Linked DNA regions of Macaca mulatta. The protein of the gene in region 1 purifies or fractionates together with the protein of each later gene. This does not show direct contact. Links are inferred from orthologs where the notes say so. Each region holds a gene or a part of one and is shown on either strand. Other genes may lie near its edges. The genes, in order: SOS1, CRKL, FRS2, PTPN11 and EPS8.

Evidence for each region.
Region 2: the proteins of SOS1 (region 1) and CRKL purify together in Homo sapiens (affinity purification with mass spectrometry; 3 studies listed by BioGRID and IntAct, with this or other methods). This does not show direct contact. The link is inferred for Macaca mulatta from reciprocal best matches to the Homo sapiens genes SOS1 and CRKL.
Region 3: the proteins of SOS1 (region 1) and FRS2 purify together in Homo sapiens (affinity purification with western blotting; 5 studies listed by BioGRID). This does not show direct contact. The link is inferred for Macaca mulatta from reciprocal best matches to the Homo sapiens genes SOS1 and FRS2.
Region 4: the proteins of SOS1 (region 1) and PTPN11 purify together in Homo sapiens (affinity purification with western blotting; 4 studies listed by BioGRID and IntAct, with this or other methods). This does not show direct contact. The link is inferred for Macaca mulatta from reciprocal best matches to the Homo sapiens genes SOS1 and PTPN11.
Region 5: the proteins of SOS1 (region 1) and EPS8 purify together in Homo sapiens (affinity purification with western blotting; 5 studies listed by BioGRID and IntAct, with this or other methods). This does not show direct contact. The link is inferred for Macaca mulatta from reciprocal best matches to the Homo sapiens genes SOS1 and EPS8.

Annotation. Positions count from the first base shown.
Region 1 is NC_133418.1:85,934,540-85,938,157, forward strand, and holds part of SOS1 (son of sevenless homolog 1), read left to right. Parts: intron 1-988; coding exon 989-1,108; intron 1,109-3,618.
Region 2 is NC_133415.1:31,780,141-31,783,758, forward strand, and holds part of CRKL (crk-like protein), read left to right. Parts: intron 1-2,042; coding exon 2,043-2,508; exon of another isoform or gene 2,509-3,098; intron 3,099-3,618. UniProt on the Homo sapiens protein: May mediate the transduction of intracellular signals.
Region 3 is NC_133416.1:76,699,311-76,702,928, forward strand, and holds part of FRS2 (fibroblast growth factor receptor substrate 2), read left to right. Parts: intron 1-745; coding exon 746-904; intron 905-1,569; coding exon 1,570-1,733; intron 1,734-3,408; coding exon 3,409-3,618. UniProt on the Homo sapiens protein: Adapter protein that links activated FGR and NGF receptors to downstream signaling pathways.
Region 4 is NC_133416.1:119,734,977-119,738,594, forward strand, and holds part of PTPN11 (tyrosine-protein phosphatase non-receptor type 11), read left to right. Parts: intron 1-1,250; coding exon 1,251-1,318; intron 1,319-1,797; exon of another isoform or gene 1,798-1,831; coding exon 1,832-1,983; exon of another isoform or gene 1,984-2,914; intron 2,915-3,618. UniProt on the Homo sapiens protein: Acts downstream of various receptor and cytoplasmic protein tyrosine kinases to participate in the signal transduction from the cell surface to the nucleus. Positively regulates MAPK signal transduction pathway. Dephosphorylates GAB1, ARHGAP35 and EGFR.
Region 5 is NC_133416.1:18,246,100-18,250,200, reverse strand, and holds the start of EPS8 (epidermal growth factor receptor kinase substrate 8), read left to right. Parts: upstream 1-1,231; 5' UTR 1,232-1,332; exon of another isoform or gene 1,333-1,485; intron 1,486-1,883; exon of another isoform or gene 1,884-1,933; intron 1,934-4,101. UniProt on the Homo sapiens protein: Signaling adapter that controls various cellular protrusions by regulating actin cytoskeleton dynamics and architecture. Depending on its association with other signal transducers, can regulate different processes.

The DNA.
Region 1 (3,618 bases):
ATAGTCTTTTTTAGTTTATCATACTACATTGATATAATTATCTCAAAAATGTCCTTCTGATTTTAAATGGGGACTATTTAGAATCTTAAACTAAATTATTCATTTTTTAATAGCTAAATGAGAAAATGAGCTAAATTTATAGATCTCCCACTAAAAATCATATTTCTGAAAATTACAGTATTAGAATCTATTTTGTTTATTTCCTAGGACCCTTTTGTGGTAGGTTTTTTTCCTCTCCTCCTTTAGACCAAAAAAAAAAAGATGTAGGAATTGCATTGATTACTGTACCCTCTTTGAACTGATTTATAACAGATATCATTACTTAAATGTCTACTTTGTCACCCTAATTTATTAATAATGTTTATAAATGCTGGAAAAGATATTATGGAGGAGTTTCAACCTTGCCCAAAGCAAAATGCTACTATAAAGCAACACTAAAAGTACACAGGTATTTCCATAAAAATAGTTTTTAAAAACAGTTTTTAAAGGCCGGGCGTTGTGGCTCACTCTTGTAATCCCAGCACTTTGGGAGGCCAAGGCAGGTGGATCACCCAAGGTCAGGAGTTCGAGACCAGCCTGGCCAACATGGTGAAACCTTTTGTCTACTAAAAATACAAAAAATTAGCCAGGCTTAGTGACGGGCACCTGTAATCCCAGCTACCCGAGAGGCTCAGGCAGGAGAGTCACTTGAACCCGGGAGGTGGAGGTTGCAGTGAGCCAAGATTGTGCCATTGCACTCCGTCCTGGACAACAAGAGTGGAACTCCATCTCAAAAAAAAAAAAAAAAAAAAAAAAGTTTTAAAAAATCCATAAGGAAATATGCATAATTATACTTTTTTGTTATACCTTGTTTTCACAAACCTTTCTGTTGGTGTAAGAGGAAAGTTCATATGAGAGTTTAGTTTTTAATCTATCTCCTTTACTTAATAAAACAGTGTCTATATTAGAGGAAAAACTGTCATGTAGAATTATGTATTGATGATTTTAGAGCTGTACAGCCATCAGAATTAGTTGGAAGTGTGTGGACAAAAGAAGACAAAGAAATTAACTCTCCTAATCTTCTGAAAATGATTCGACATACCACCAACCTTACTCTGTGGTTTGAGAAGTAAGTATTCCTAGCATTCTTACATTTTATAGCTGTCAGCTATATTATGAATTTCAATGCAATTTTGTTTTTGTTTTTGTTTTTGAGAGGGAGTTTTGCTCTGTCACATAGGCTGGAGTGCACAACATCGGCCCACTGAAACCTCCACCTCCCAGGCTCAAGCGATCCTCCCACCTCAGCCTCCAGAGTAGCCAGGATTACAGTGTGTGTGATATTACACTCACCTAATTTTTCTTTTTTTTTTGAGACAGAGTCTGGCTCTGTTGCCCAGGCTAGAGTGCAGTGCGTGATCTTAGCTCACTGAAACCTCTGCTTTCTGGGTTCAAGCAATTCTCAGGCCTCAGCCTCCTAAGTAGCTGGAACTACAGACGTGTACCACCACACCCAGCTAATTTTTGTATTTTTAGTAGAGACGGGGTTTCACCATGTTGGCCAGGCTGGTCTTGAACTCCTGACCTCAAGTGATCCACCCATCTTGGCCTCCCAAAGTGCTGGGATTACAGGCATGAGCCATTGTTCCTGACCAATGCAATTTTATTTCTATATGTCTCATGTCTTTTTCCTCTGTTCCTCCTTTATTTAGTAATTGTTTTTCATTGAATGAAAATGACAATATTTTTCATTAGAAAACGTTGAATGTTTTTCTAATGTAGCATTTTAGTTTCACTAATTATTTTCATTAACTTTTTTTGAGGTTCTTTTAATGGTTGCCTGGTTGCCTTAGAGTTTACCACACACATCTTGTCAGAATCAGCTTCAGACTTACAGTAGCTTCATACCAGTGATATATAGAAATATTACTCCTATGTAGCTCTATTCCCTTTCTCCCTTTTTTGTGGTACTGTTATACATATTACATCTTATTAATAATGCAAATCAAACAATACATTGCTACAGTTATTACTTTACCATTTGTCATCATACTCTTAGACCATTAAAGCTTTGCTCTCACCCACCTCCTTTGTGTATTATTGGCAACATATTACACATATATTACATTTCTATGTTATAAACTCAACAATGTGTTTATATTATTTTAAGTCAGTTATGAGAAGAAATGAGAAAAAAAATACGCATTTACAAAATGTCTTTAATAATTACCCAATTACCTTTACTGGTGATCTTTGTGTGGATTCGAATTACCATCTGGGATCACTTGCTTTTCAGCCTGAAGAATTTCCTTTAGTATTTCTTCTGGAGGGTCGGCTAGCAACAGATTCTCTCAGTTTTTGTTTATCTGGGAAAATCTTTATTTTACCTTCATTTTTGAACAATACCTCTATCTTCAAGTTAATACTTTTTTTCAGTTCAAATACACTATTGAGCTTTTCCAGTAAGTTTTTTATTTCAGTTATTGTACTTTTTAATTCCAGAATTTCCATTTGGTTCCTTTTTATAGTTTCTATCTCTTTAATGATATCCTCTCTTTGATGCGCATTGTCATCAACACCTTCCTTTCCTTCTTTTTCATGCTTTCCTTTAATTCTGTAACCATATTCATAATGGCTACTTAGAAATCTTTTTTGTTATTGTTGTTAAATCTGACATTTGGTTGCTCTCACAGGTAGTTTCTGTTCCTTCCCCCCTCCCCCACCCGCACCCCGCTGTAAGAGTCATATTTTCTATTTCTTTGCATACCTCATCTGTTTTTGTTGGAACCCTGACATTTCAGATAATATATTGTAGCAACTCTGAGTGCTGCTCCTCATTCCCCAACCCCCTTTCCAGGGATTCTTACTGCGTGGCAGTGGTACTGGAAAGACCCATCCACTCCTTCCCTGACCACACACACCCAGCTATGAAACTCCACAATTTGCCAGCTGATTGCTCTGATGTTTTCAACGATTTCCTGGTGGCATAAATGCTATACAAAATAATGCAATCAGATTGTGGCTCCTTTGAAGGAATGGTTTTCTGAGATTTCTGTTTCATACTTGTTCTGACCCCAGGAGGGCTTCTCTCAGTTGTCTTATTTCCTAGTTCTCCCCTGCAAACTACTCTGCCTACAGTCTAGGGTGTATCTTCATTAGATCCACAAATCTCTTCCCCATTGCCTTTCACCACAATTTCCTCTGTTCTTAAGGGCACCATTAAATTTAAACTACTTTATACTTTGTTGCAAATGACAAGATTAGGAGCTATCTGTTTGAAACAGGGCTCTAAGGCTCGGGATAATGGCAAGCTTTTCTCTGAGTGACACTTCTGCCCTAGGAGCTTGGTTGAGCAGGTAGAGTGGCAGACGATGGTACTGTAGCCTGAGGTCTCCTTACCTGCCTCTTCTGGCATGGAACCACGCCTTCAGGAACCAGAGGAAGGGCTCTTTTCTCAGTATTCTCAAAATATCATACCCAAGGTAGAGTCTCCATTCCATAAGTGGAAGTTGGGCAAGGAAGGGTCTTCCCACGTTTCAGCTGCACTCAACTGGGACTTGGCCTCAGCAACAGGCAGCAGGGACAGGATGAGAAAACTAAAGTCCTGCTCCTGTACCTCACTGGGAGCTAGGTGTTCTT
Region 2 (3,618 bases), on another chromosome or scaffold:
AGGTCTGAGCCACTGTGCCCGGCCTCTTATTTATTTATGTTTTTTTTGAGACTCGCTGTGTCTCCCAGGCTGGAGTGCAGTGGCGTGATCTCGGCTCACTGCAAGCTCCGCCTCCCGGGTTCACGCCATTCTCCCGCCTCAGCCTCCCAAGTAGCTGAGACTACAGGCGCCCGCCACCACGCCCGGCTAGTTTTTTGTATTTTTAGTAGAGACGGGGTTTCACCATGTTAGCCAGGATAGTCTCGATCTCCTGACCTCGTGATCCACCCTCCTCGGCCTCCCAAAGTGCTGGGATTACAGGCTTGAGCCACCGCGCCCGGCCTTATTTATGTTTTGAGACATAGTCTTGTTCTGTTGTCCAGGCTGGAGTGTAATGATGCAGTCATAGCTCCCTGCAGCTTCTAACTCCTGGGCTCAAGTAATGCTTCTGCCTCAGCCTCTTGAGTATCTGGGACCCCAGGTGTGTGCCACCATGCCCAGCTAATTTTTTGTCTTTTTAGTAGAGACAGGGTTTTGATATGTTGGACAGGCAGGTCCCCAAGTGATCTGCCTGCCTTGGCCTCCGCAGGTCTCCAAGTGATCTGCCTGCCTTGGCCTCCCAAAGTGCTGGGATTACAGTTCTGAGCCACCACTCCTGGTAGATTTATTGTTTTTAACTTGGCAAGTCTGTAAGCCCTTTTTTGTTCCTTTTTTTTCAAGGGGCCAGAGGTAGAGGCCTTTGTCATTTTCTGTGTGTCCAGGGAAGTGTGCAGGATGTATAAGCCATAGATTAGGAGTGGGAGGAAGAGTGTGTGGTGGTTGTGACAAGGGTCCAAAGGAAGGCAGCTTCCGAACTTACTTGAGATTATAAAAATAAATTTAAACCAGGTATCTCTGTGTAATCAAAAGGTTTCTGTAAAACAGAGATGAAGTGTATGTGTGTGTATATACTTGTAATTTGAAAAGACATTCAGAATAGTAACTTCTGGGACAGTACAGACTACAAAAATTACAGCATGATAGAACCTTCTTAACTACTAAGAATATAGAAAGGAAAATAAGGCCTGGCATGGTGGCTCACACCTGTAATCCCAGCACTTTGGGAGGCTGAGGCAGGTGGATCACTTGAGGCCAGGAGTTTGAGACCAGCCTGGCCAATATGCCAAAATCCTGTCTCTACTAAAAACACAAAATTTATCTGGGTATGGTGTTGCACATCTGTAATCTCAGCTAGTCGGAAGGCTGAGGCAGAAGAATCACTTGAACACCGGAGGCAGGGGTTGCAGTGAACTGAGATTGCGCCACTGCACTCCACCTGGGTGACAGAGCAAGATTCTGTCTCAAAAAAAAAAAAGTCTGGGCTCGGTGGCTCACACCTATAATCCCAGCACTTTGGGAGGCCGAGGCAGGTGGATCACGAGGTCAGGAGATCGAGGCCATCCTGGCTAACAAGGTGAAATTCCGTCTCTACTAAAAAATAGAAAAAATTAGCGGGGCATGGTGGCATGTGCCTGTAGTCCCAGCTACTCAGGAGGCTGAGGCAGGAGAATTGCTTGAACTTGGGAGGCAGAGGTTGCGGTGAGCTGAGATCCCGCCACTGCACTCCAGCCTGGGCAACAGAGCAAGACTCCGTCTCCAAAAAAAAAAAAAAAGTAGGGGCCAGGTGTGGTGGCTTATGCCTGTAATCCCCAGCACTTTGGGAGGCTGAGGTGCATGGATCACCCAATGTCAGGAGTTCAAGACCAACTTGGCCAACATGGTGAAAACCCTTCTCTACTAAAAATACAAAAAAACATTACCCGGGCATGGTGGTGGGTGCCTGTAACCCCAGCTACTCGGGAGGCTGAGGCAGAAGAATCACTTGAACCAGGGAGGCAGAGATTGCAGTGAGCTGAGATCACGCTATTGCACTCCAGCATGGGCAACAAGAGCGAAACTTGTCTCAAAAAAAAAAAGAAAAGGAAAATAATTTATTGTAGAGGAAAGTGGTTTATTAAGAAGTTTGACAGGCACTGGCTTAGAGTAAGATTTTTCTCTTATAGTAATTTTCTTTCTCTCTTAAGGTATCCAAGCCCACCAATGGGCTCTGTCTCAGCACCCAACCTGCCTACAGCAGAAGATAATCTGGAATATGTACGGACTCTGTATGATTTTCCTGGAAATGATGCCGAAGACCTGCCGTTTAAAAAGGGTGAGATCCTAGTGATAATAGAGAAGCCTGAAGAACAGTGGTGGAGTGCCCGGAACAAGGATGGCCGGGTTGGGATGATTCCTGTCCCTTATGTCGAAAAGCTTGTGAGATCCTCACCACACGGAAAGCATGGAAATAGGAATTCCAACAGTTATGGGATCCCAGAACCTGCTCATGCGTACGCTCAACCTCAGACCACAACTCCTCTACCTGCAGTTTCCGGTTCTCCTGGGGCAGCAATCACCCCTTTGCCATCCACACAGAATGGACCTGTCTTTGCGAAAGCAATCCAGAAAAGAGTACCCTGTGCTTATGACAAGACTGCCTTGGCATTAGAGGTAAAATCTGTTCAGACTAGCTTTTTGGGTCCTTTGACATTTGGTTTTAATTTTTAGTTTTAGTTTCTGCTCATTTAAGCTTATATTCATGGAATTAGAGCACTTAGATGATTTTGGGAGATACGCACTGTTAGCATTTCATGTTTAAATTTTTTTACAGAGACAAGGTCTCTGTTAAAAAGAGTTGTTTGCCCAGGCTGATCTCGACATCCTGGCCTCAAGCAAATCCTCCTACCTCAACCTCCCATAGTACTGGGGTGACAGATATGAGCCACCGTGCCCGGCCTGTTATTAGTGTTTCACAGGTTGTTTTCTTCTTTCCTATTCCTTGTTTGTCCCACATTCTCAGCCTCCTTGCTCTTTTTTGTTCCCAAAGCCTAACAGATTTAGTTTTGCAGTCATTGGTTTTTCTTCCAGTAAGGAAAGATAATAATTAAGGAAGACCCATGACCTAGAGGCAAAATCAGCATACAGATGCATAGCTACTTGTATGGTTCTGTATTTCTAACATTGGAATCAGTTGAGAAATATGAAAATGTCTTAGAATTTCTCTTGAACTTGGTAGAGGAATTAATTTTTTTTTTGACAGAGTCTTGCTCTGTCACCCAGGCTGGAGTGCAGTGGCGCGATCTCTGCTCACTGCAAGCTCTGCCTCCCGGGTTCACGCCATCTCCTACCTCAGTCTCCCGAGTAGCTGGAACTACAGGCACCTGTCACCATGCCCAGCTAATTTTTTGTATTTTTAGTAGAGACGGAGTTTCACCGTATTAGCCAGGATGGTCTCGATCTCCTGACCTCGTGATCCACCTGTCTCGGCCTCCCAAAGTGCTGAGATTACAGGTGTGAGCCACCGTGCCCGGCCCAGGAATGATTTTTTTTGAGATGGAGTCTCGCTTTGTCACCCAGGCTCCAGCACAGTGGCATGATCTTGGCTCATTGCAACCTCCACCTCCCGGGTTGAAATGATTATCCTGTCTCAGCCTCCCAAGTAGCTGGGATTACAGATGCCTGCCAGCCTGCCCATCGAATTTTTGTATTTTTAGTAGAGATGGGGTTTCAACATGTTGGCCAGGCTGGTCTTGAACTCCTGACCTCAGGCGATCTGCCTGC
Region 3 (3,618 bases), on another chromosome or scaffold:
TGTTTTTTTTTTCCAATTATTATATTTGAAATATTATTCTTTCAGCTATTCTGTATATAAAGATTAATATTTTTCTTATGAAAATCCCAAAATAAGCAGATTGTTAAGAAAAGATATAGTATACTATGTATTCATTTATCAAGTGTTTATTAAGCACATTGTCTATGTGAGAAGTTTTGGCTCGTGTTACCTTTAAGATTTTTCAGTAAATGATTGGGCCTGCTAAATTGACTAAATGTCTTTATCATTGATTTTTTTACTACCTATTACTTGAATGGCCTTGACAAGTTACAGGACTTCTGTTGAATGTTAAATTTCTTCTCTATAACAGGGAAATGGTAATACCTATCTTATAATTATTGTAATAATTAAACAAGATAGCAATTGGAAAACACCTAGGGACTTTCCAAGGGGCCTGTTACATGGCAGATGATCACCTTGGAGTAGTGAGTTGGGCTCCCCCTGCTGTTTAGAAACAGACGAGCCTTAAGTGTGCAGGTCTTGATTTCATCAGCTTTGTTTTGGGCCATCTCCCTTAGATGAATGAAAATTATTCTGTGAACTTTTGGCGGGGGCTTGTTTTGAAACAGGGAATAATCATTAATTTATCAGATATTTATTTTAAAGGGATTTCTTACTCTTGGCGCATAGAATGCTTACTTTACAATTCTGCTCTTTGTCAAGTGTTCCCATAGTTTTTCCAAAGGTATGTTAACTATTTTTCCCTTTTGGTTTATATTTGTAGGAATCTTTGCCTTTAAGTGTGCCCGTGCAGAAGAATTATTTAACATGTTGCAAGAGATTATGCAAAATAATAGTATAAATGTGGTGGAAGAGCCAGTTGTAGAAAGGAATAATCATCAGACAGAATTGGAAGTCCCTAGAACACCTCGAACACCTACAAGTAGGTACCCATTTTCCCTCTCACATTTTGAATAACAGACATTTAGTTGTAAGATACAGATTATGGATATTTAGTCAATAACACACTATAAATCACCGTTGGATAACAGAAGTATAATAGTTGTCAGTTTTTAAAAACAGCTGTAGGCCGGGCACGGTTGTTCATGCCTGTAATCCCAGCACTTTGGGAGGCTGAGGTGGGCAGATCATGAGGTCAGGAGATCGAGAGCATCCTGGCTAACACGGTGAAACCCCGTCTTTACTAAAAAAATACAAAAAAATTAGCCGGGCGTGGTGACGGATGCCTGTAGTCCCAGCTACTCGGGAGGCTGAGGCAGGAGAATGGCATGAACCCGGGAGGTGGAGCCTGCAGTGAGCAGAGATCGCGCCACTACACTCCAGCCTGGGCGACAGAGCAAGACTCCATCTCAAAAAAAAAAAAAAAAGCTGTAGTTCTATGTACTTCAAATATTTTAAAAATGAAAACATTTAGTATTTCATATTATCTAAAATATGGAGTGGGAGTAATACTATTTGTGCTCTGATTTCTGCTGTCTTGGCAGAAAGACCTCTTATAATCCTCTCAGTACAGATTCGATTCTTAATCATTTTTATTCTCTCTGCCCCCACCCCCCTTTTCCTTAAACCAATTAAAAAAAAACTCAGCTCCAGGATTTGCTGCTCAGAACTTACCTAATGGATATCCCCGATATCCCTCATTTGGAGATGCTTCATCCCATCCTTCAAGCAGACATCCTTCTGTGGGAAGTGCTCGCCTGCCTTCAGTAGGGGAAGAATCTACACATCCTTTGCTTGTGGCTGAGGAACAAGTAAGCATATGCTCCGGTGTAACAGCAATAATGATTGTTCAGAGTCAGGGTACCACTGTGCTAAAACTAGACGATTTTATTCAGCTTGAAGTTTATCTGTTTGTAAATTACTTTTGTAGTGAACAATCAGAGGAAATAGCATATATTTGCTGGCTTATGCTCAAATATATGCAGGCATTCAGGGGAACTTAGCATTACAGTAGCTTGTGGGTTCACAGAAGAGGTACATCTATAGATTAAGAAAGGCATAACTAATGGTCAGTTCCCATTATAAGAACGTCCAATGGATTAAGAGTTTATGCTGCTTTTCATATTTTAGCCGTTGCAGTCAGTGAACTACTAGTAGGAAGGTAGATTTTGCTGTTAATGTTACGGAGTTATTTAGTGTTCCCGACTATTCTAGTTTTCATGTGTGGAATGAAGTATCTGGTTGGAACCTCTGTATTAATTAGTTATACTTATGTTTTGTAAACCATATGTCATATTAAAAAGTTTTTAGTGTTTTTAAAATCAGTTTCTTTGTGTTCTGTACATAATGAGTTCTTATTTACTGTAATTACGTGAGTCTTTCTGTGTCGCGCAAGCTGGAGTACAGTGGCGTGATCTCAGCTCACTGCAACCTCCACCTCCCGGGTTCAAGCAGTTCTTCTGCCTCAGCCTCCCAGGTAGCTGGGATTACAGGCGCAGGCCACCACACCGGCTAATTGTTTCGTATTTTTAGTAGAGACAGGGTTTCACTGTGTTGGCCAGGCTAGTTTTGAACTCTTGACCTCAAGTGATCCACCTGCTCCAGCCTCCCAAAGTGTTGAGATTACAGGCGTGAGCCACTGCGCCCGGCCCTTCTAAATATTTTTATATTATCTCCCCAAAATACCATTAAGCTTTTCTAAATAGTGATAATTTCTTACTAGGTGGCATTTATTTTATATCTATGCATTTTACAGAACTCTTATTAAATCTAGTAGAGTTTATCTTATATAGTCAGATCATCAGTAAATAAGGATAAATTTATCTCTTTTCAAAGTTGTTATTTATTTCTGGATCATATTTTAATGCTTTGAGAACCTCTACAACAGCAGCAAAATGATAATCCCTATTTTGTTCCTGATTTTTATTTTTTGCATAATTATCATGTTTAACAATCAAATATAATGTTGCATGTTACTTTATCTTTTGAGATGGAGCCTCACTCTGTTGCCCAGACTGATATGTAGTGGTGCAATCTCGGCTCACTGCAACCTCTGCCTCCCGGGTTCAAGTGATTTGCGTGCCTCGGCCTCCAGAGTAGCTGGGATTACAGGCGCTCACCACCATGCCCAGCTAATTTTTGTATTTTTAGTAGGGACGGGGTTTCACCACGTTGGCCAGGCTGGTCTCGAACTCCTAACCTCAAGTGATCCACCCGCTTCAGTGTCCCAGAGTGCTGGGATTACAGGCGTGGGCCATTGCACCCAGCCTGCATGTTATTTTAAAGTCATTACTCTTTTATCAAATTAGGAAGACATTTCTACATTTATTCTCTCTTTCCACCTTTTTATTAATAAAAAAATAGTTGCAAAAGTTTTGAAGTAAGAGTACATTTGGAGAGAAAGTTAATAAAATTAACTGATGTGGTCAGGCTTTTTTTCAGTTTTGTTTTTTTAAGTAAATTAATTCACTTTCTGTTTTGTTTTAGGTACATACCTATGTCAACACTACAGGTGTGCAAGAAGAGCGGAAAAACCGCACAAGTGTGCATGTTCCATTGGAGGCGAGGGTTTCTAACGCTGAAAGCAACACACCAAAAGAAGAACCAAGTAGTATTGAGGACAGGGATCCTCAGATTCTTCTTGAACCTGAAGGAGTCAAATTTGTTTTAGGGCCAACGCCTGTTCAAAAGCAATTA
Region 4 (3,618 bases), on another chromosome or scaffold:
GGAGTGCAGTGGCACCATCTTCGCTCACTGCAACTTCCGCCTCCTGGGTTCAGGCCATTCTTCTGCCTCAGTCTCCCAAGTAGCTGAGATTACAGGTGTCTGACACCACGCCTGGCTAATTTTTGTATTTTGATAGAGACAAGGTTTTGTCATGTTGGCCAGACTGGTCTCGAATGCTTGACCTCAAGTGACCCACCTGCCTTGTCCTCCCAAAGTGCTGGGATTGTAAGTGTGAGCCACCACACCTGGCCCATTCTGTTCTCTTCTACCATAAATATATTTCTTCCCCAACACTATATTTGTTTGCCTCACAAGCTTCCAGCTGCTTTCTACCAACGCCTTTGAAGGAAGCTGTGCTGTGACCTTTGTAATGAGTCTGTGGGCTGCTGATTCTCCAGTCTGGGCTTCATGATTATACTGGGGAACATTGGGTCTCCTAAATCTCATTCATTTCTTGGGCAGGTAGATATATGTGAAACTTTTTTATTTGTCCAGTTGTTAAAGAAGCTACCATTTATTGAGCCAGCCTCTGAGCACAATGTTTTTTGTTTTTAATTTTTAAAATTATTTATTTCTTCTATTTCAGTAACTTTATTATTATTATTTTTTGAGACAGAGTCTCACTCTGTCACCCAGGCTGGAGTGCAGTGGTGCGATCTCAGCTCACTGCAACCTCTGCTTTCTAGGTTCAAGCAATTCTCATGTCTCAGCCTCCTGAGTAGCTGGGATTACAGGTGCATGACAACATGCCTGGCTAATTTTTGTGTTTTTAGTAGAGACGAGGTATTGCTATGTTGACCAGGCTGGTCTGGAACTCCTGGTCTTAAGTGATCATCTTGCTTCGGCCTCCCAAAGTGCTGGGATTATAGGCGAGAACCACTGTGCCTGGCCCTCTTTCAGTAATTTTGATGTATTTTTTTGTATACGATTCCTGTTTCATTCTGTCCAACCAGCACTCTGTATGGTATGTGCTGTTGTCCCCATTTCACAGATGCGGAAACTGAGGGTCAGAGAGGTTAAGGGACTTAACTCAGGCACGTTGTACTGGAGAAGCTGAACTCCAAGAGCAGGTTTGGGCTGACTTCAAAGCCCTGTGCTTTTTGCCAACATATTTTCAAACATAAAGAGACAATTTTATAAATAGCTCCCAAGAGTAGACATTGTTTCTGTTAATACTAATGGCTTGGTTTTGAGTCTGAAACCCCCATGAATGATTCTGTTGTCCCTGCTTTTTGTCCTTCTGCCCGCAGTGCTGGAATTGGCCGGACAGGGACATTCATTGTGATTGATATTCTTATTGACATCATCAGAGAGAAAGGTGGGTCATCTGGCGGGCAAGAAGTGACAGTTTCTGTTTTTAGTTTATGGAAGGAAAGTGCTCGTGAAAACAGCCTAGGGAAGAGAGGTTGAATGGGAAAAATTTTTCACAAAAATCTGGGCTGAAGACTTCAGTGTGTCTGCTTGAGAACAGAAGTGACACTATTTGAGCTTTTGGCATAAAATGAAGTCTAGGAGCTGCTGAACCCACTGCCGTGGCCTTTTGTTGCATACACAGTGGTGGTCTCTATCCAGCCACCTGAACCTTGTTTACAGTATGGGGTGATTTGTTGGAAAGTGAGGGAATCCTGACCTCTGCCACTTTATTATTTATGTAGTCTTCTGGGATCTTTGGTATTGGTCAGAAGTTCAACACTGTAGCCATTGCAACATGCTCAATTAAAACAACAAAGACTAAATCAGCATTGTCTGTGAGTCCACTAAAAGTTGTGTGTAAACAACTTCATCCTGGTTCTGCAGTTTCTCTTTATTCTTCTTGATGTTTCCTTCGTAGGTGTTGACTGCGACATTGACGTTCCCAAAACCATCCAGATGGTGCGGTCTCAGAGGTCAGGGATGGTCCAGACAGAAGCACAGTACCGATTTATCTATATGGCGGTCCAGCATTATATTGAAACACTACAGCGCAGGATTGAAGAAGAGCAGGTACCAGCCTGAGGGCTGGCATGCAGATTCGCATTCTCTTTCTAGGCCTCTTGGATACGCTCTCCTTTTGAGCAGGAGGAGAGGCTCTGATAGACAACTGTTTGATTTGGGAATGGGAAACAAACTCCCAACTAAAAGGGCTTCTGGAAACTGTTAATTATTCTCTACTTCTCAGCTCTGATTTTTCACTGCAGAGGAGCTTAGGGAAGGGCACCATCCTATCAGCCTGGCCTGCCAGATTGAAGAACTGCCATGCAGAAAGGTCTGATGTTCCCAGGCTCACGTGGCAAGCATAAAACTCAAAGCCTTGAAGTTTCTAGCCTGTTCCAGCCTTGATCCAGGCCATGTTTATCCTGATTCCATCCTTTAAAACGAATGCCTCACTCTTAATAGCGCACAGCAGTTTGAACCACTAATTTGGTCGAGTTGGAAACAGTGAAATTTCAATTTTAATAAGCTGTGCATAATGAAGAGGAATGTGGAATTGGAGCCTTTCCATCTGAAGCTATTCATAACAGGCACAAAGCTGAGTTAATTAGGAATATGCTGAGATGAAGGAAATGAGGAGAACTGCTCTTTTGGGGGCTGTGCTTCTCTCCCCCACCCCTCAACCCCATTGCCATGCTGCAGATGGGGTAGTGTCTAAACATCAGTGACGATTGCCTGCATTACTCTGCTCATTGCCTTCCAGAGAACTCAGCTTCTCCAAATGCTGAGCTCTTTTCAGAATGGGACCTGCCACCAATATTTGAAAGATTTCTAGACTAGCAGAATAGCAGCCACTTTATCAAAGTTTGGTGGGCCAAAGTAAGGTAACTGCTAATTAGTTTAGTAGGTTTTCAGTCCACACAGACATACGGAATTGTTTTATTATACATAGACATCTTCAGAAACTGTATGTATAGAAATTAAGGTCAAAATTTGAACTTCAGTGCTTTATTTTTTAAAAATTTTTATTTATTATTGTTATTATTTTTTGAGACGGAGTCTTGCTCTGTTGCCCAGGCTGGAGTGCAGTGGCACGATCTCGGCTCACTGCAAACTCTGCCTCCCAGGTTCACACCATTCTCCTGCCTCAGCCTCCCGAGTAGCTGGGACTACAGGCACCCACCACCGCACCCGGCTAATTTTTTGTATTTATAGTAGAGATGGGGTTTTACCGTATTAGCCAGGATGGTCTTGATCTCCTGACCTCGTGATCCACCCGCCTCGGCCTCCCAAAGTGCTGGGATTACAGGCGTGAGCTACTGCACCTGGCCAACTTCAGTGCTTTAAATCTGAATTTGTATTAAGTGATATGAAATATTTAGATGGTTACTATAAGTTATTTTATATATGTCTTCCATTATACTTAATTTGGCCCAAGAATAGTTAGGCAAAAAGTTGCCCAAAGAGAAGGATTTCCTAGTAAATACAAAGCAAATGTAGCATAGTTACTACAATTTGGAGCATGTTCAGGAATGTCTTTTTTTTTTTTTTAAATGAGAGAGGTCTCTCTCTGTTGACCAGGCTGGAGTGCAGTGGTGCAATCATGGCTCACTGCAGCCTCAGTCTCCCAGGGTTAAGCGATCCTCCCACCTCAGCCTCCCAAGTAGCTGGTACTACAGGCATGTGCCACCACACCCAGCTAATTTT
Region 5 (4,101 bases), on another chromosome or scaffold:
GGACTTAGCCGTTAGATCGATTCCAACTTTTAGAATGGTTTTAATGTCCACCTTGGCATGTTATCTCGTTTCTCCCTGACTGTGCTTTTATTTGCTTCACAAAGCAAGCAGGTCCAATCTCTTTTAACCAAGTTTAATTTATAGGCTTTCGTTGACTTCTGGAAGTCAACTGACTTCGAAATTAGGACAGCATGGGGGGATTGCGGGAGTAGCTATGACAATGAGGAGTTTTAAGAGTGAGAAAACACAATGTCTATGAGAAGATGGACTTCTCCTTTAGAGGCTCCATAAGCTACTCAGAGAGGAGGTTACGAGGGTTGGTTAAGGCACGAGAAGCACAAAGTGAAAGAAGCCTCCACTACTTCAAACCACATCAGGGCTTTTGGCAAGAGCTACAAGAAAAATAGACTCCCAGGCAGCCGGACGAGGCGGGTCTGGGCTTGCAGGCTGGCGCTAAGGACCGGCAGTTGGGAGAGTCCCAGGGACCCGATGGAGGGCCTTGGGCACCACCAGTTTTACCGCATGGGTTAGAGAGACAACAAAAAAAGAGGAAAGCGACAAAAAGGGGAAAATAGGTCCGAGGGCCAGAGGAGGAAGACGAAGGCTGGCTGGTCATTAGGGGCGGCTTGTTTGCCGCCATAGGGCAGGGGTTACGAGATGCAGCCAGACCCCGGGTGTTGCAACCCGAGCGCTTTCTCCGCCCGGGGCGTCCATCCTTGCCGGGGGCGAAGCTCTCCACACGCTCTTTGCTCCTTCCCGCGCCTCCTGCCTGCTAGTCGGTCCTGCTAGGGCACTTCTGGAAAACCCGCTGTCGGCTCGCTGCCTTGGTCCGACTTTGATCGCGGCCTTGATAACTTGGCGCAGCGCCCCGTCTCCTTTCCTCCGGTCCCTCTCCCGCCCACCCGGCCTCACCGGCCGCTTCGCCTCCAGCGCTGGAGTCGACCAGAACTCCGCGGCTCGGCTGCCAGCAAGACCCGGAGAGCGGATCCCGCTCCTGGCTGCGCGGCGCGCACTCGCCTGCCCGCCCGCTCCCCGGTTCCTCGCGCGGGCACTGGGCATGCGCGGCGCGCGGTTGGCACTGGCCGTGAGCGGGCGGGCGGCTCCAGACTTCACAGGCAGCAGCTAGCGAGGCGGTCTCGCCCGGCGCGAGGCCGGCGCTGTGCTCGCCTCGGAGATCGCTGCTCTTCAGCTGGGCGCAGGGGGCGGCTCCGCGGCTCGCGGACGACTGGCTGGGCGCGAATCAGATTGGGGGGCTTTCTCCCGGTCCCCTCCCACCTCGTCTGGGCTCGCGGCGTCTCCGGGGAAAGCCGTGGCCCCGAGGGCGGATCCGAGGTAAGAGCCCCTTGGCGAAAGGCGCCGGTCCGGGGGTCCGGCGGCTTTGACTCTCTCGATTTTAAAAATCCGCCTTTGTGTGCTGGATCGGAGCGGTGCCAGGAGCCGCGTCCGCCTCCCTTCACTTTGCTTTCAACTGGTGTTGGCAGCCAGGTGCGCGAGGGCGCTGCGGCCGGAGACGTTCGCTCGCCGGGTCCGGGCAAGCCGCGGGGCCCGTGCAGACCCGCGCCCAGGGCTCCGGGAGGCTGGGCAGGGAAGGTTCGCCGTGGCTCAGTGATATTCATGGTAACCTGAGCTTCCGCAGATACACCTGCGCTCATCTGGTCCGTGGGGCGACTGCAGACCGAGTATCCCGATCTCGGCTTATTATCTTAGACTTGGGATTTGTTGAACTGCTCTCCCCACCCGCCTCAAATGGGGAGGGGTTCTTTTCAAAATGACCCTTTGGGACAGGGTCCCACCCCCGTTCACCCCCTCAAATTAAGATAGCTCATTGTTTCGGAATCGTTGTCAATGCCTAATTGCTGTTGACTTTCTTAGCTTACTCCACTTTACTCACCATTTTACTTTTGGGAAGACAGACGGCTTTTCTCCGGTTGTGGTCAGTTCATGCATTTGAAATGGGTTTCCCCACCCATGTACCCCCTGCTCTCTCCGATGTTCTCACTCTTACTTTCTTTCCTAGGACTACCTGTTTGCAAAATCTTTGCACCGATCGTTCTCCTGCGGTGTTTCTTAAATCCTCTTCCTCCCATAGGGCCCGTAGTACTGTTGGAATCTCGCGGGGGGCAGGACGCCGTGGTATTAGGATTTGAAATCCGTAGACATCTAGAGCGGTGAAGCATTAGGATTTAGAACCCTCCTTTACAAAATATGTTTCAGTGAAAAGTGTTACTGCTTCTGTTTTCAAGGTTTCTTGCCTTAGATAGTAAAGAGGAATTGGTAAAAAGAGCTAATATGTTAGGATGAGTTCAGATAAAACTTGGTTTCAGATGTGTATGTGAAGAGTGTGATTTTTTGGCTTTGTCGTTTTTGAGAAATAGGAGAGTTAGGATTCCGGGCAGGCTTCTTTATATTGAAAATAATGATAATAATTAAAAAACCCCTCAAAGTAACTGTGTTGTGTATTTCCTCTAGTTTATTTTCATTGAAAGGACTCTATTCTTCCACAGCTCCTTGGGTTCTGGAAAGTGAGCAATAGTAATGGACATCATGTGCTAGTGAGTCTATTGGAATTAAAGTCAATGTCATCCTGTCTCACCTAGTATAGAATTTTTTGTTTGGGATCGCAGTTTTCTAAACATATTGCTGTAGTTCTTAAGTTACTGGTGTGGAAAATTTTTGGTCACGAATTCACACTTTTACTTACAATTTGAAAGTTAAAACAGTATAGAATTGTCACATAAAGGGTAAGGTAGAATGTATCACAAATACAATAGTGTTAATAGAATGCGTTTAGTGCAGAATACACAGATTGAGACTTCGTAAGATTGCACCACAAGTCATTCACTTTATAGCAGGAAAAAAGAAGGAAAATATAATTTGCTTTTAATTCTACTATTCTGAGATAACTGCTGTTTACAAGACTTGGTGCATTCTCTTTGTAATTTTTTTCACTTCCCAATGTCATTGAATATTATATATAGTAATTTCTAGCAAGTGTAATTTAACTGACACTATTAATAGCCCCACTCTTAATGGGGTGATGTTTCTTTTAATGGGGTGATGTTTCTTTTGTTTCCTGTCAGGAACCTAGTGTCTAATTTTGAATATTTTGCTTGTTTGTGATCAAACATAAAGATTCATTTTGTTTTTATTTCTAGCTTTTTCCTGCTTTCAAGGTTTTATCAATACTGATTCTTTTCAGATACCAGTTCTTTTCTATGCTATGGCATTGGCTTGCTACTGTCTACTTTGTGTTTATTACATTCCCAATCCTAGTTGTTTTGTTACCCTCTATTTCACACCCTTTCCCCTACTGCTTTTTATTCTTCTCTCTACTCCCTTCTTTTACATACCTCTTTTAATTCTGTAGCAGGTCACTTGAACCAAGGTTTGTATAAGAAAACATAGTATCCAGAATAGGAAATGATAGCTTTTTAGAAGTTGTCTCTTTAGATACTTGAAATTCTATTGGATGAATATTTAAGCACTGATTTATGTAATATTTATATACAACTCAGCTTTCCCGAGTTGTATGAAACATACTTGGTAGTTACATGGGTCATCACAAAACAACGTAAGTTAATGATAGGGTACAAACTTTTGGACATCTGTAGAGGTATGTCAGGGGGAAAAAGTGAAATTTTAATTAAAGTACTCTGGCTATAGTAAATCCCTCCTGGGAATTATTAATACTACATGAAATTGTTTGCAGCTGTTAGTGATTGAAAATATTTTTGTAAGAAAAATTCTGCATTGGTATAGTTGCAAACATTTTAAGTTGAATATATGCAAGAAAGTGTAAGGTCTTCAGTGCTTCACTACAACCTTTTCTGTATTTTCTAGATGCATTCCTAAATGGGATTTTAAAAAAATAGACCTTATTTCTCAGAAGTTTTGGATTTACAGGAAAGCTACAAATACAGTGTCAATATACCCCCATACCAGCTTCCCCCCTTATTAACATCTTATATTAGTATTTGTTACTGTTAATGAACCAGTATCGGTACATTAGCATTAACAAAGTTTATACTTTATTTAGATTTCCTTAGTTTTTAATGTCCTTTTTCTGTTCCAGGACCCTACCATCCGGAACACCACTAAATG